2 linked regions of the Sus scrofa genome follow. The protein of the gene in region 1 purifies or fractionates together with the protein of each later gene. This does not show direct contact. Links are inferred from orthologs where the notes say so. Each region holds a gene or a part of one and is shown in the gene's direction. Other genes may lie near its edges.

Region 1 (7,743 bases):
TGGTGCAACCTGGGCACTGTGGACGTCCACCCCATTGGCTGGTGTGCCATCAACAGCAAGATCCTGGTGCCCCCGCGGAGTGAGTTGCTGAGCGCCTTCCCCTTGCCGGTTCCTGCAGGGCCCTTGGGAGAAGGGGTGTCCTGACTTAGTTGAGACCAGATCAGAACCCACTTGCCTCCTTGTGCCCTGTCCCCCCTTGTCCCAGAGGCCCCTTGGTAGATCCAGGCTGGGGAGCCTGATTTTATAAGATGAGGTGATCGGTGGCCTGAAAGGCAGGAACAAGTGATCAGTCCCCTCTGCTGCTCCCAGGGCAGCTCCGTCTGTGGGAGCGCCGCCCGTCTAGTCAGGATCCTGCTCTGTCTCCACAGCCATCCACGCCAAGTTCACCGATTGGAAGGGCTACCTCATGAAGCGGTTGGTGGGCTCCAGGACGCTTCCCGTGGATTTCCACATCAAGGTCTGGCCCGGAGCCCTTTGGGTCCCCGACTCATCTCCTTCCTGCCCTCCCGTTTTATCTGGGCTTCGCGCTGCTCCTGTGCCTCTCAGTCTCAGCGGCTCCAGGTTTCCAAAGGATGGACAGTGGCTGCCGTCCGCCTTCCCAGCCTCCCATCAGCCTCCTCCTGGTTCAGACTCCAGGGCAGCCACTCAGTCATGTTGTGTGGTCTGCCGTTTGTTCTTCTAGATGCTTACCTTTGCTCCGAGCATTTTCAGGAGCATTCATTCAATAGATCTGATCACTGGTCTTGGACACAGTACAAGAGCTACAGAGTCCTGCCTTGAGGACTCTCCAGTCTGGCAGAGATGAAGTCATGCCCATGACTAATTACAAAATAGCCTTGATTCTGAACCAGGGATGTGCTTCACTCATCTGTGTGGCATTTCCAATTTTTAAAAATTATTTAGTTCCTTAACAAAAAAAATCACACATGGTGAAAATTCAGAGGGCTCCCAAGGCCACACAGTGAAGGCAGGGTCCCCCCGCCAGTGTGCCAGGCCTGCTGTTGTGCGGCTCGCTCACGTAGGTGCCTGGGCCACATCTGACCCCGATGCTCACATGTGTTGTTCCCATGTCACCCTGGGTAAGTGTCACAGCAGCAAGCAGGGGAATGCAGGGCAGGCGCCACTGTGACATGTGATTGAACTGGTCTTGTGGCCTGAGGAGGAGCAGGTGCCGAGGGCTCCGTGGAGAATATAGCTTTGAATTCTGCTTTGTGGGCGGCCTAGAAGCTGGTGGGGGGCCATCACACCCAAGGCCCCGGACGCTGGTGAGAACTGTGGGCCTTCACTGGCCTTCAGTGAGGAACGGTTCCAAGCACCTCAAAGAATGACTTTAGGACTTCCCTGGTGGCCTAGTGGTTAAGGATGCAGTGTTGTCACTGCCATGGCTCAGGGCACCGCTGTGGCCCAGGAACTTCTGTATGCTGCGAGGGCAGCCCACAGCAACAAAACCAAAAAAACCTGTTTTTCTCTTATTTGAACCTAGTGGGTAGTACTCACTTGTCATTTACCTCTATGTTTTAATATTCTTTTCATATTCTTTCCAACAGAACTGTAAGCTTTTTCTCCTCTGTTTCCTGTAGTTCTTTGCACAGGTGACAAGTTTGGCAGCTGAGGATGCACGTCTCCTATCCTCAGCTGGCCCTTGTTTGAGGATGAGGCAGGTGACTGTGGGTGACACAGGCCGCTAGGAGTATCCAGGTGGCCTCACCTCAGCTTAAATTAAAAGGAGCTTGATTCTGGGTGGCAGAGCAGGGCTCTGAGTCGGTCAGCAAGCATGCACGTACCCAGGGTCACGTACCCAGACCCTGCAGTGCACGCTGGAGGCTGCAGAAGCAGCTGCCTTTGAAGAAGTGGGGATGGAAAGATTAGAAGGGCGGGGTCCCTATGATGCCTGCAGTAGGTAAGGACTTCGTCAAGTGTTTGAATGAAGGCCCATCATCCATGTGTTTGTATGTTCAGTCAGAAAAAAAACATCAGGGTGTTCTCTTGTGTTCTCTTGTGGTGCGGCAGGTGAAGGATCTGGTGGTGGTACTGCGGTGGCTCGGCCCACTGCTGTGGTGTGGGTTCGATCTCTGCCCCAGGAACGTCCATATGCTGTAGGCACAGCCAAGAAAAAAGTCAGCTGAGCACGCCCTCTGTGCCTCGTTCTGCGCTCAGAGCTAAAACACTAACCCTATCCTTTGCCTTTGCAGACCTCGAGTTCTAGCGTAGCGTGTGGCCTTAAACCAGGGTGTTGTCGGGTCGGGTCAGGGTCACCCTGAGAAGGCACAGAGGGAAGGAGCGTGTCAGAAAAGGCCAGGTGGGGGTGGACCCGGGACCCCAGCCCGGGCCTCACCCTGCGTCTCCATCTGCTAAATGGGTCAGGTGTATTCCCGCCCTTGAGCTGAGGGCTGAAGGATCCCTGTCCTGGTGGCTGCTTTGTGACCTTCTGGGGGGATTTGGAAAAGCACGGCTCAGTCCCCACACCTGAGCCTGCAGCGCCCTGGTGCTGGAAAAGCCCCACAAAGCTTAGTCACCCATCCCCTACCCCCGGCAGGACAGCACCAAAGCCTCCAGAATCTCCAGCTCCTCCCCAGGGGTCCCCCCAGGGCAGCAGCTCGTGGGCATCTGTCTTTTGCAGTGTCAGAGACGTGGCATCCTGACTGAGGCACTGTGGAAGCTGTTCAGAGCCACTGCTCAGCGGGCCGGAGCTGAAATTAGATGTACGGAGGCAAAGGGCGCTCGGTTCTCTAACCCCGAGGCCTGTGCGCCATCAGCTGGGGGCCGGAAGGTAGAGGGGACGTGGGGTACCCGTGTGACCAGAGCGCAGGTCCCCGAAAGAGCACGAGGCTGGAGCCCTTGGAGCCCAGCTCTGCTACCCGCGAGCCTGTGCGACTCTGAGGAAGTCCCGCCTCCCTGGGTCCCTGTTTCCTTTGTCTGGAAAGTGACTGTAAGTCCCGTCACCGTGACTTACCCGCACACGTCGTGACCATCACGTCATCAGTGTCACCCTAGGGACTTGGAGCCAGGGCTGAACCTGGGGACAGGAGGGCTCACCTGCCTGCCTCCTGACCTGGGCTTTGGGGCGCCTCCGCCGCACCCGCCCCGTCCTCTGGCTTCTTTGAAGAGACGGAGCAGGGAGAGGCCGCGTGGCCACGGCAGGCTGGTGCTGTCGTTGCAGATGGTGGAGAGCATGAAGTACCCCTTCCGGCAGGGCATGCGGCTCGAGGTGGTGGACAAGTCCCAGGTGTCGCGGACCCGCATGGCTGTGGTGGACACGGTCATCGGGGGTCGCCTACGGCTCCTCTACGAGGATGGCGACAGCGACGATGACTTCTGGTGCCACATGTGGAGCCCCCTGATCCACCCTGTGGGTTGGTCACGGCGTGTCGGGCACGGCATCAAGCTGTCAGGTAACGTGGGTCTGGCTGAGCGGTGGGGTGACTGTGTGCCTTGCGGGTGGCCGTGCTTGACCAGGGGTCCCAAGAGGTCGAGGGACTTGACCAAGGCCACTTGGCTTGAAGCATAAAAACTGATTGAAACCAGAGGCTACAGGCCCCATCCTCTCCCACGTCAAGTGGGAAGAGAAGAGTCCGGGTCTTAAGGGCTGAATCCCCCTCCAGAGAGAGGCCCTGGGCCTTCCGCCTCCTAGTGCTGGGGTGGCGCGAAGATACGGATTAGAGCCTGGGCAAGGCGGCCCCACACTTCTGGGGGAGGCGTGGAGGTGGCCCTGGTAGCAGCTTCACTTCTCTCTTCCCCATCTGTCGTCTCCCTAAAAGAGAGGCGCAGCGACATGGCCCACCACCCCACCTTCCGGAAGATCTACTGTGACGCTGTTCCTTACCTGTTCAAGAAGGTGAGGCCCAGCCCTCAGGCGCGTTCCCCTTGGCTGCACGTCCACCCCGGGCCTGCAGCCTCCTCCCTGGCATGTTCCTGCCCCCTCGCTTCCTTCCAGGCCGATGGCACACCATGGCCTGCTTCCCCCCATCGCCTGGGCCAGCCCGGAGTTTCCCCAGCTGCCCCGTTCCTTTTAGGTTCGAGCCGTCTACACGGAAGGCGGTTGGTTTGAGGAGGGGATGAAGCTAGAGGCCATTGACCCCCTGAATTTGGGCAACATCTGTGTGGCAACCATCTGCAAGGTGAGCTTGGGGCAGGCCCCCGCCTCCCGCCTGGCTTCCTGCGGGCACGGGGGTGGCAGAACTCGGCACGCAGTGTCCATCCCGTCTTCCTGGTACTGGCTGCTCTTTGGCACCTGCTTTTTCTGAGTGGAGCCTTAGCTCCTCACTCAGCATCTGCTCTCAAGTTGCGGTCAGAGCCAGGCTGGACAGGTGCTGATTGAAGCCCTGGCCTGAGCCTGGCTCTGTCCCCTCGCTGGGGGCCTTCCTGCCAAGACCTGCCATCTCTTTTGAGTGCTGGCCTGGCCAAAAGCCGCAGCTGGCTGGCTTTGCTGCAGACCTTGCCACCGCTGCCTGGGGAGCAAACTGGGGGACATGCCGATTGTCCATCCAGCACGTCTCCAGGCTGGGCCCATGTGCTCACCCCGAGAACCCAGTGACCAAAGGGCAGATGGCGTTCCTGCTGGCACAGCATTTGCTGTCTAGTGAGGAAGCCCAGAGATCCCACGATTACGGGCTGCACGAGTGCTCAGTGCTCTGAAGTGGCTCAGGGACGGCTGAGAACTGGCTCCAGGTGGATCCACCCGCCTCGTGGCCCCATTGCCCTGGGCCGGGGGTGCAGCTCAGGAGGCCGTGTTCTGTCTGCCCCGCCCCCTCCCCACCGCCCACTAGGTGCTCCTGGACGGCTACCTGATGATCTGTGTGGACGGGGGGCCCTCCACAGACGGCTCGGACTGGTTCTGCTACCACGCCTCTTCCCACGCCATCTTCCCAGCCACCTTCTGCCAGAAGAACGACATCGAGCTTACACCCCCGAAAGGTAAGACGAGCCGGAAGGGGCAGGGGGAGGCCCTGATTCCTGGCCTTGCTAGACCCTGCTAGACCTTGGAGCTTGAGCTGCCTGAGGACTGGAGAGGTGACAGAGCTACCCGAGGTCACCACCAGCCCTTGGTCTGGGCTGGCTCGCCCCATGGCTGGTACGTGGCTCGGTGAGCAGTCAACCACCTGTAGGACAGAACCAGGTCCTAGCAGGTACCAGCCAGGGGAGGAGGGAGAAGGCTCCTGCAGAGACTCCGGGCTGGATCCTGACCGAGCTGTGGGCGCCCTTGGCCATGGGGGGCTTGGCGGAACTCTCTCCGGCTCCCCTTCGGCCCTCAGCCGGACTTTCCACTGCTCCAGGGTACGAGGCTCACACTTTCAGCTGGGAGACCTACTTGGAGACGACCAAGGCGAAAGCGGCGCCATCGAGACTCTTCAACATGGTGAGGGGACCAGGAGGCAGGGGCCCGGGGTGGCCTTGGGACGGCCCTACCTGTTCCCACTCCTTTCCTTGAGTCTGTGCTGCTGAGACCGGCCGCAAACTCCGACGCCAGCCCCGAGCCGAGCAGTTCAGCCGGTCCCTTTCCCAGGGGGTGGTGTGGGCACAGAGTGCGGTGGGATCGCTGGTCAGAGGAACCTGCCCTGCTCCCTCCCCCAGGACTGCCCCAACCACGGCTTCAAGGTGGGCATGAAGCTGGAGGCCGTGGACCTGATGGAGCCCCGGCTCATCTGTGTGGCCACCGTGAAGCGGGTGGTGCATCGGCTCCTCAGCATCCACTTCGACGGCTGGGACAGCGAGTACGACCAGTGGGTGGACTGCGAGTCCCCGGACATCTACCCCGTCGGCTGGTGTGAGCTCACCGGCTACCAGCTCCAGCCGCCCGTGGCCACAGGTCTGGGCTCTCACGGCCCTAAGCGGCTCTTGACTTTGCTCTTCCTTTTCCTTCCTGCCAATCACTCCCCCTGCCCTGTGTCCCCCTCGTTCTCTGGCATGAGATGGAGACGCTCCTGGACCACTTCCGAGAAGAGTGGCCCCTGCCTCCCTCCCCCTGACTTCTCTGTCTCCCTCTCCCTCTGGCCTGCAGAGCTCCTTCCTTGACCTTGCCCACTCTGTCATATGCTCGTGCCCCTGTGCACCCAGGTAAACCCCCAGGTCCCTCCGGGAGCCCTGCCCATGGGGTGGGAAGAAGGGACGGCTGTGCTCCGGTCCCTCCCCGCAGCCCCCTCCCTGTTCTCACTGCCCAGCTCTGGCTTTCCTTCTGGGGGTGTCCCTGCGTAAGGGGGGCCAGCGAGGGGCGGGCAGGGGTCTCGGGATGTGCTTGCAGCCTGTGTCTGAGCCTCACCTCTTGTCCCTGCCTGTCAACAGCAGAGCCCACCACACCTCTGAAGGCCAAAGAGGCCACAAAGAAGAGAAAGAAACAGTTCGGGAAGAAAAGTAAGTGAGGCTCTAAAGCTGCCTGGCTGGCGGGGGCCTGGCAGCAGCTGAGCCTGTGTCCTGGGGAGCTGAGGTGGCGGGTCGCCTCTTAGGTAGCCTGGTTCATGCTCCCGCCTTTTGCCCAATGGGCCCGTCAGTCACCCCGGGTGTTCAGGGACCCAGATCATAAGTAGGGGGTCTTTGGTCTTTGGCAGTGGTCAGGATGGCCAGGAAAAGGGACAAGAGGTTGTATTTGAGAGAGAAGGGGAGCCGTGGCCTCTGAGGCGATGTGTGCCGCTGGGTTTGAAATTAAAAGGTACCAGAGGACTGGAAGCTGCTCCCCAAGGCTGTTGTGTTCCCTGGTGACCCCCAGCGGGTGGGAGCAAGGGCAGCCTCCAAGCTCCGGGGACATCTCCACAGGCAGGGCTGTTCTCGGCTGGAGAGGTGGCCCCTGCCGTGGCACCATGCAGAGAGGAAGCAGTTCTGGTCCCCAGGCAGAATTAAGACCCTGCGAGGGTGTGGAGTTGATCAAGTGGCAGGACCCTGTGCCCTTCAAAACCAAGGGCTGGCAAAGTCACACTTCAGAGGTGGGAAAAGGATCAGAAAAGGGAAGCTTGGAGTTTCCTTGTGGCACAGCAAGCTAAGGATCTGGCATTGTCAACCGTGACCCGGTTGCTGCTGTAGCACAGGTTCCACCCTGGCTCAGAAACTTCCACATGCCTCAGAGCAGCCAAAAGAAGAAAAAGAAAAGGGCAGCTTAATAACCACAGGTGGGGTGCGTGAAATTAATCTTTTCTTGGAGAAAACCTCTGAGCCCCGGGCAGTCCTAGAGGTGAGGTCAGAGGTCGGGCCTTCTCCCTCCCCAGTGGGGGCCTTCCGCACTGCCTGCCCGCTGGGGGGAGACCCACCCTTGCACTTCACATGGATACAGCCCCAACCTGGATTTCATTCTGTTTTTATTTATTTATTTATTTTTGCCTCTTCTAGGGCTGCTCCTGCGGCATATGGAGGTTCCCAGGCTAGGGGCTGAATTGGAGCTGTAGCCGCCGGCCTCCGCCAGAGCCACAGCAACGTGGGATCCGAGCCGCATCTGTGACCTACACCACAGCTCACGGCAACGCCGGATCCTTAACCCACTGAGCAAGGCCAGGGATCGAACCCGCAACGTCATGGTTCCTAGTTGGATTCGTTAACCACTGAGCCATGACAGGAACTCCACATTCTGTTTTTATTCAAAGGAAAAAGAATACCACCAACCAAGACCCGGCCCCTCAGACAGGGGTCCAAGAAGCCCCTGCTGGAGGATGACCCGCAGGCCGCAGAGAAGATCTCGTCGGAGCCCGTTCCTGATGAGAGTAAGAGCCTCCTGCGCGGGTCCAGGCGGCCGGCGGCTCTGGGGCTCAGAGGCGGGCCTGC
Region 2 (7,081 bases), on another chromosome or scaffold:
CAGCAGCTGCCGGCCTCCACCACAGCCACAGCAACACCGGATAATTAACCCTCTGAGCAAGGGCAGGGATCGAACCTGCAACCTCATGGTTCCTAGTCAGATTCGTTAACCACTGTGCCACGACGGGAACTCCTGCATTTTCTATCTTTAATTACTTGTAAAGGAATTTGAAAGTTACAGAAGACCACTGTCAGATTCAGCACACAGCTCTCAAGGTGAAGTGCACAGTCATGCTGTAGCCCCTGGGCTTGCCCGACTTAATTAGATGTCTCCGTACTGAGATGAGGTGGCAGGTGCTTTGACAAACCCTAGAGAAAACCAGTTTTCCACCTCCTACTGGTTGTGTCATTGTTCCTATTTTTGCACACTGCTTCCTTCTCTTGCCTTTCCCGTGCCCTCCCGGCCCCTGCCCACCCCACTGGGGCACCTGTCACCCACCGGCATCGCCGTTCCTTGTTTCCCTAGACCGCAGCGCTCGGAGGCTGAGGCGGAGGTGTGGTCTGGCGGACGTGAGTCCCGCGCTGGCCTGTGCCCTGTGGTATCTGTGACTCTGACCGTCTCTCTGGCCTCACCGCCTGTCATCTTATCCTCCATGTCACAGTGAGAACGTGGCTGTGAGGAGCCAAGCAGAGTGTGGCAGGCCCAGGGCCACCCGTTTGCTGACTTGCATTTGTATTAGAGAGTTTGTTGGAGGTTAATTTGAAGAATTACTAAGTGGAATGAGCCTTGCAAATGGTATTGTATTTAAAATGCCCAAGTTGAAATCAGATCCTATTTATTAAAGTAAGGCTTTTGTACCAAATATTTCAAATATTAGTTCCAAAGAACTCTTACAACTCCGAGTTCCCATTGTAGCTCAGTGGTTAACAAATCCGACTGGGAACCATGAGGTTGTGGGTTCGATCCCTGGCCTTGCTCAGTGGGTTAAGGATCCAGCATTGCCGTGAGCTGTGGTGTAGGTCAAAGACGCGGCTCCGATCTGGCGTTGCTGTGACTGTGGTGTAGGCCGGTGGCTATAGCTCCTATTTGACCCCTAGCCTGGGCACCTCCATATGCCGCAAGAGCGGCCCTAGAAAAGACAAAAAGACAAAAATAAATAAATAAACAAAAAAGAACCCTTATAACTGGCATATCCTCCGCACAAGTCTCTTGACTGAGTGAAGTGGAGATGGCCTGACACTGCAGTGAGGGGTGAGAAGGGTCCCTGCTGGTCGTCTGCTCGCAGCGAGCCTCGGATTAGCTCGTCTCATCTCCATGTGGAGAAGAAAGTGCTGCACTGAGAAGTTTCACCTGTGGAACGCGGCTATGATGTTACCAAGTGTGAAAGGACACAAAGTCATACACTGTAGTCAAAAGAGGTTTTTAGAAACTGTATAAAAAGCTCTATCAGCATGTTAACAAGCTTTTGTCTTTGAGCAGCAAGAATTTTGAATTCTTTCCTTCTGCTTTCCTCTAGTTTTCGAAATACTATATAATGAATGAGCACTATAGTATTGTAGTGTCACTAGCTTTTTCTAATTCAAAGTGCTTTTGTACCTTAAAGATTTCTATCCAAGTGCGCAGCAGCCCAAGTCCTGCCCCGCCCTCTGTCAGAGTGGGCCGCGATTGCAGACCCATCGAGCCTGCGCCGCACTTTCCTGCTGCCGGTGGCTGCTCACAGGTGGTTGCGTTGGCAGTTAGACTGGTCGCCTGTTCGGCCCCTGTGGGCTTTGAGACTTGGCAGCACAGAGCGAGGCCTCGGGATGGGTTTGCTCTGCTTTAATTCGCAGTGGTTCAGGTCTTTATGGATGACTTGCCAAGTATTGAACAGCATCCGGTGTCCCCATTTTGTCTTGTCCTCGTGGAATAATGCCAGATTTTGGTGTGTGTCTTGTTTTTTCCAAACACTGTATGGGACTGGGGGAGGTGCTGTCCAGGAGATGGCGCTTTCAGTTCCCAGTGTTACTCATTCATTCAGCACATGTTCATGGAATGTGTGTCGGAGAAACAACCGTACATGAAACAGAACTGTGCTCAGTGAGCTCATGATGGTCATGAGGTGGGAGGACTTTCGCCGCAGAAAAACTGTCCAGTTAATGTGGAGAATTAGAATTACATCTTGCAGTTAACCAGGTAACCTCGTCTAGGTAATATGTATTTTGTGTAAAATGTTATATTTTAAAAATATGTTCAGGAGTTCCCTTCGCGGCTCAGTGGAAACGAATCTGACTGGCATCCATGAGGACTCAGGTTCGATCCCTGGCCTTGCTCAGTGGGCCAAGGATCTGGTGTTGCTGTGGCTGTGGTGTAGGCCAGTGGCTACAGCTCCGATTCAACCCCTGGCCCTAAAAAGACTAAAAAATACGTGTGTGTGTGTGTTCAGTAATAAGACCAAGTCTGACTTCTAAAAGGCTCTCTGGGGTGTGCTGTGTTCATCACACAAACACGATGCTCGCTGTGCTTGCCGAGCAGGGACCTGTGGGCCGAGTTCCAGGTGGAAGACGGCCGCCCCTTTGGCTGCTCTTCACAGCCTCCTCACCGCTGTCCCCCTCTCTCCCCCAAATCACTGCAGATTGCCGTTTACATTTGTAACCAAGGAGGTGGCGGAAGCCACGTGTAACTGCCTTCTGGCCCAGGCAGAGCAGGCGGACAAGAAGGGAGAATCAAAGGCAGCAGCCGAACGGATGATACTCGAGGAGTTCGGACGATGTCTGATGAGCGTCATCAACTCTGCAGGAAAAGCAAAACGGGACCCTTGCGCCATGAATTGCTAACTCCTGCACAAAGGACTGACTGATGGAGGGACTGTGCAGAGCACTGGAGGTGCAGGGACACGGGATTTTCTGGAAGCTAGTCCAACAATGACTGTATTGGCAATTCAGTCCTTGTGAGACCTGAAATTATAATATTGAAAGAGAAGAAATTTTTTTAAATGAGGAAATTAGTACATTTTAAGTCTAAGTTAAATCTGCTTATTTCCCTTCTAAATTGAGTTTCTCTTTATTGTATTATATAGATTTTTAATTGGCTTGGAATTCTTAAGAACTAGATGTTCTGTCCTTCTGCTTCTATTGACAAATAACATTTATAAATTACTATAATTTATAATGTATGGTGTTGTATGACTTTGTTCCAGGAGAAAAGGCCAAAGAAGCCTTGGTATTTAGCCAGTCATTCTTTGGTGCTAGATCTACAATATAAGCAGATAGACTATCTCCACTGACAAATTCTCATGACCTTTTGTGTTTAGAAAAGCACTATCTTTTTAGGAAAAATCAACTTTTTAGGGTGGATTCTGGAATAATACCCTGTTGTCACTTTAGGAATGGTCCGATGGGGAAGTAATCCATGGCACACTTTTAAAATAAAAAAGTTATGTTTGTTTTAAAAAAAAAACATACAGTGTTAAGGGACAGTAAATAATTCTCAAAGGCAGACAGTTTGTTTCTATATAAGGAGTGACGAAGAAATGCTTGGGATATTTCCATTTTCTTTCAAGGAGGCGGTATGTATTCAGAATAATAAATTGTCAGTGGTTACGGGGTACTATTAAAATGAGCCTTGCATATGAATAGAAGTAAACCTATTATGTAGTGATAACAGAACCTTACCTATTTATCGGGTAAAGATTTGGCTTGGATGGAGAAATCAATACTGAAGGTCTAAGAGATGAATTTAGAGGATTTTTCATCTATAGAAACAGCTCTCTTTACAGACTTTTGAACTAAGAGGGTTCAAACCAACGTTATGACTCTTACTTGATTTACTGAAATGGGCCTCCTAACTAACAAAGCTCTCAGAATTGTAGTGGGATTTCTTTTTTACGGGAAGCTTAACACGGCGTTATTTTTAGCCAGTGATTTGGTGAGCTAATGGTATGAGTTTCTCATATAATTACTAAGATAACCGAAATCATTTTCAGCAGTTCAGAATTCAGAAGCTTTATGAATTTAAGAGCCTGTTATAATAGGACTCTGGATTTTATGATGGGAAAAAACCATGTTGGAATTCAGGCATTTTGTTAGGTACCTTGATCCCCAGTAATTATTAGTATATGATTATTACATTTCCTACAAGGAATCTATAGTTGTATGTATTAAGTGTGTATATATGTTCATACGAACATGCAAGATATAGGCAGCAGAAACGAAGCGATCCAAAAGGACCTTCCTTTGAAGCCTGGGTTTATAAAATGACAGTGCAGTAACTTTAAATGTAGATAGTGCAGACATTCTTAGCACCTCAATCTAGTACACTTAATTAAACTTTGTATAAATGTAAATTAGTGTAAGAGGATAAAATAATATCTAATCAAGTTATTTTTCAAAAGATTACAATACCTTTTTGGTCTAAACCTAAACTTTGTTCATTTTGTACATACTCTGTGTTTAATTCTAATTGCACCTTTGTGATGTGTATTTATATACAGTGTGCATAAAATGTTTGTGAAATTTGGATTACAATTGTAGATTATGTATGACAGCCTTGCTTGAAAATGTTTTGCTTGTAAAAATTTGAAGGTGCAATCAAATGCTACTAGTTTTTCTGATTTTCAAGAAGCTATCTATCTAAAGTATTAAGCCTTTCCTTCCTGTGTAGTACTTACTAAACTTTTTGTATGTAGGCATTTGCATCAAATTGCTGAACAAGATTAATATCCGCATTAATTCAACAATTTTAAAAGACTATTTGGGGGGAGGGTTGGGTATATAATTTTTTTAGCTCTATTTACATCCCAAAGTAGAAAGATTAAATTTATATTTACTAGAGCTATTCAAAGAATACACTTTTCTATATTGTAAAACAGGACAGCAAAGGAAATCATACAGAAAATAAACATTTATACTATTCTGTAAAAAAAAAAGTTTTGCATTTTTTCTTTAATAACATCACTTTTAACCATTAAGATGCAAGAAACTTTTTAAAATGTCTGATATCAAGTACATTTGACATTGAAAGCGTACAACTAAAAGATAAACGTGTCGTTTTGCCCACTTCTCACTAACATCAATTGCTTTGAGATGAGAAGTTCTCTTGTTTCCACTGTTTCTTTCAAGGGCAGAAGGTCAGTCCACTCTTTCTTTTCTCTCCATATCTGATGTTCTTGTGGGGAGCACCTTTCTGAATTTCCTTTCCTCTCACGGACTAAAAGCAGCGGTCTGATCTCTGGTCCATGCGGGAACAGAAACCGCATGTCCCACGTAACGAGCCAAGTAGAGCAGCGACTCTGGGGGAGGGACTCCTGCTCTCGCGTCCCCGTTCCTGGACGCGGACAGCGGACATTTTCTCCTCTTATGTAAAATGTGAATAAAGACACCTTTAGGAAAGTTTCCTATTTGTATTGTTTTAGAACGCAAATAGCTAGAAAATGAATGCTTGTTACGTAACTACAGCTCAAACCAGCTCTACGTGTGATCATACCGCATCCCTTCAGTGTTTTACATCGGAATTCTGGAGAGGGAAGCCAGTCAGCTCAAAAGCCCTTACTGTGTTATTTTTTTATTATTATGTAAATAACTTTTTCCCTTGATGGGTTCATGTAATGCACATTTTATCCTCATCTATAGACCAAATTTGAGTGTTTTGTAAACAATCCAAGTGATTTTTTTTGTCTTTTGTCTTTTTAGAGCCGCACCTGCGGCATATGGAGGTTCCTAGGCTAGGGGTCCAATCGGAGCTGTAGCTGCCGGCCTACGCCACAGCCGCAGCAACACCAGATCCAAGCCGTGTCTGCGACCTACACCACAGCTCACGGCAATGCCGGATCCTTAACCCACTGAGTGAGGCCAGGATTGAACCCACAACCTCATGGTTCCTAGTCAGATTCATTTCTGCTGTGCCACCACGGAAACTCCCCAAGTGATTTTATAAACTGTAAGTTATAAGGTCTTTCAAATTTTGTCTTAGAAGTGTTTTATGAAAGTGTTTAAGGAATTTTGAGTTTACTCAAAAGCAATAAGAAAGTATATTCAGGGAGCTGTTATTATAAGGTACAGACTATAATTTATATTAGTAAGTGAAACCTGGCAATATATTAAAAGCATATATCATGACCAGGTTGGGTGTATTCCAGAAGTAAAAGTCTGACCCAGCATTCAAGGAAAAAAAAAAAAAATCAGTGTAGTTCATTGTGTCAGCGTGCAAAAGAAGAAAAATTACATGATCATTTCAAAAGCTGCAGCAAAGAACCTTTTGAATAGACCAACAATACTAGATTATATGCTATGGAGAGCATATCTCAAAATTCTTTTTTTCAAAAAAGTGCAGAAAAATCATCTTACAAAGCACAACACCCATTTATGACTAAAACAAAACCAAAAGACACTGGGAGTTCCTGTTGTGGCTCAGTGGAAACGAATCTGACTAGTCTCCATGGGGATGCAGGTTTGACCCCTGGCCTCGCTCAGTGGGTAGGGATCTGGCGTGAGCTGTGGTGTAGGTCGCACACCCTGCTCTGATCCGGTTAAAGGCTGGCAGCTTTAACTCTAATTCGACCCCTAGGCTGGGAACTCCCATTTCCTGCAGGTGCAGCCCTAAAAAGAAAAAAACAAAAGCCCCTAAAACCCACTTGAGCAAATTGGGAAGAGAAGGATCCTCAGCAAAAGAGGCTCCAGCCGACATCATGGGAGGGGCGAGGACGGAAGGCTTCCCCTAAGACTGGGAACCAGACACTCCTTCAGCGTCATGTTTGAGGTCACTGTACACAAAGATCTTGTTTTTTAAGGCCATAGAGTGGGAGTGAATAAATATAACCATTTATTTGTGGATGATGTGATATGATTGCCTATACAGAAAACTCAAAGCAGCAATCAGAAGGGACGAGGGCTAATGAGTGAGTGTCGCAGCATTAGCATGTGGAGACGTGTATTTCCACGTAGCAGCGATGAACACTGGAAACAACCTCTCAAGTCACAGTTCATAGCAGCACCCGGAACATGAAATGTAACAAAAACGTACACAGGGTCTCTGTGAAATGTAAAAATACTGATGTAAAAAATCAAAGAGGCTCTTAAATTTTACTATAATCATGCGCATGGACTGAAGATTCCGTATTAAGATGTCCTTGCTCCCCAATTACAGATCCAAGATAACTCCAGTCAGA

What was found. Proteins that work in one complex are often made in the same cells at the same time.
Region 2: the proteins of L3MBTL2 (region 1) and LIN54 purify together in Homo sapiens (affinity purification with mass spectrometry; 3 studies listed by BioGRID and IntAct, counting the BioPlex papers as one, with this or other methods). This does not show direct contact. The link is inferred for Sus scrofa from reciprocal best matches to the Homo sapiens genes L3MBTL2 and LIN54.

The regions. Positions count from the first base shown.
Region 1 is NC_010447.5:7,258,761-7,266,503, reverse strand, and holds part of L3MBTL2 (lethal(3)malignant brain tumor-like protein 2), read left to right. Parts: coding exon 1-79; intron 80-368; coding exon 369-457; intron 458-3,160; coding exon 3,161-3,392; intron 3,393-3,758; coding exon 3,759-3,835; intron 3,836-4,013; coding exon 4,014-4,118; intron 4,119-4,766; coding exon 4,767-4,914; intron 4,915-5,273; coding exon 5,274-5,356; intron 5,357-5,571; coding exon 5,572-5,806; intron 5,807-6,279; coding exon 6,280-6,348; intron 6,349-7,541; exon of another isoform or gene 7,542-7,565; coding exon 7,566-7,682; exon of another isoform or gene 7,683-7,727; coding exon of another isoform or gene 7,728-7,743. UniProt on the Homo sapiens protein: Putative Polycomb group (PcG) protein. PcG proteins maintain the transcriptionally repressive state of genes, probably via a modification of chromatin, rendering it heritably changed in its expressibility.
Region 2 is NC_010450.4:135,393,432-135,400,512, forward strand, and holds the end of LIN54 (protein lin-54 homolog), read left to right. Parts: intron 1-772; exon of another isoform or gene 773-2,551; coding exon 2,552-2,753; 3' UTR 2,754-4,843; downstream 4,844-7,081. UniProt on the Homo sapiens protein: Component of the DREAM complex, a multiprotein complex that can both act as a transcription activator or repressor depending on the context. In G0 phase, the complex binds to more than 800 promoters and is required for repression of E2F target genes.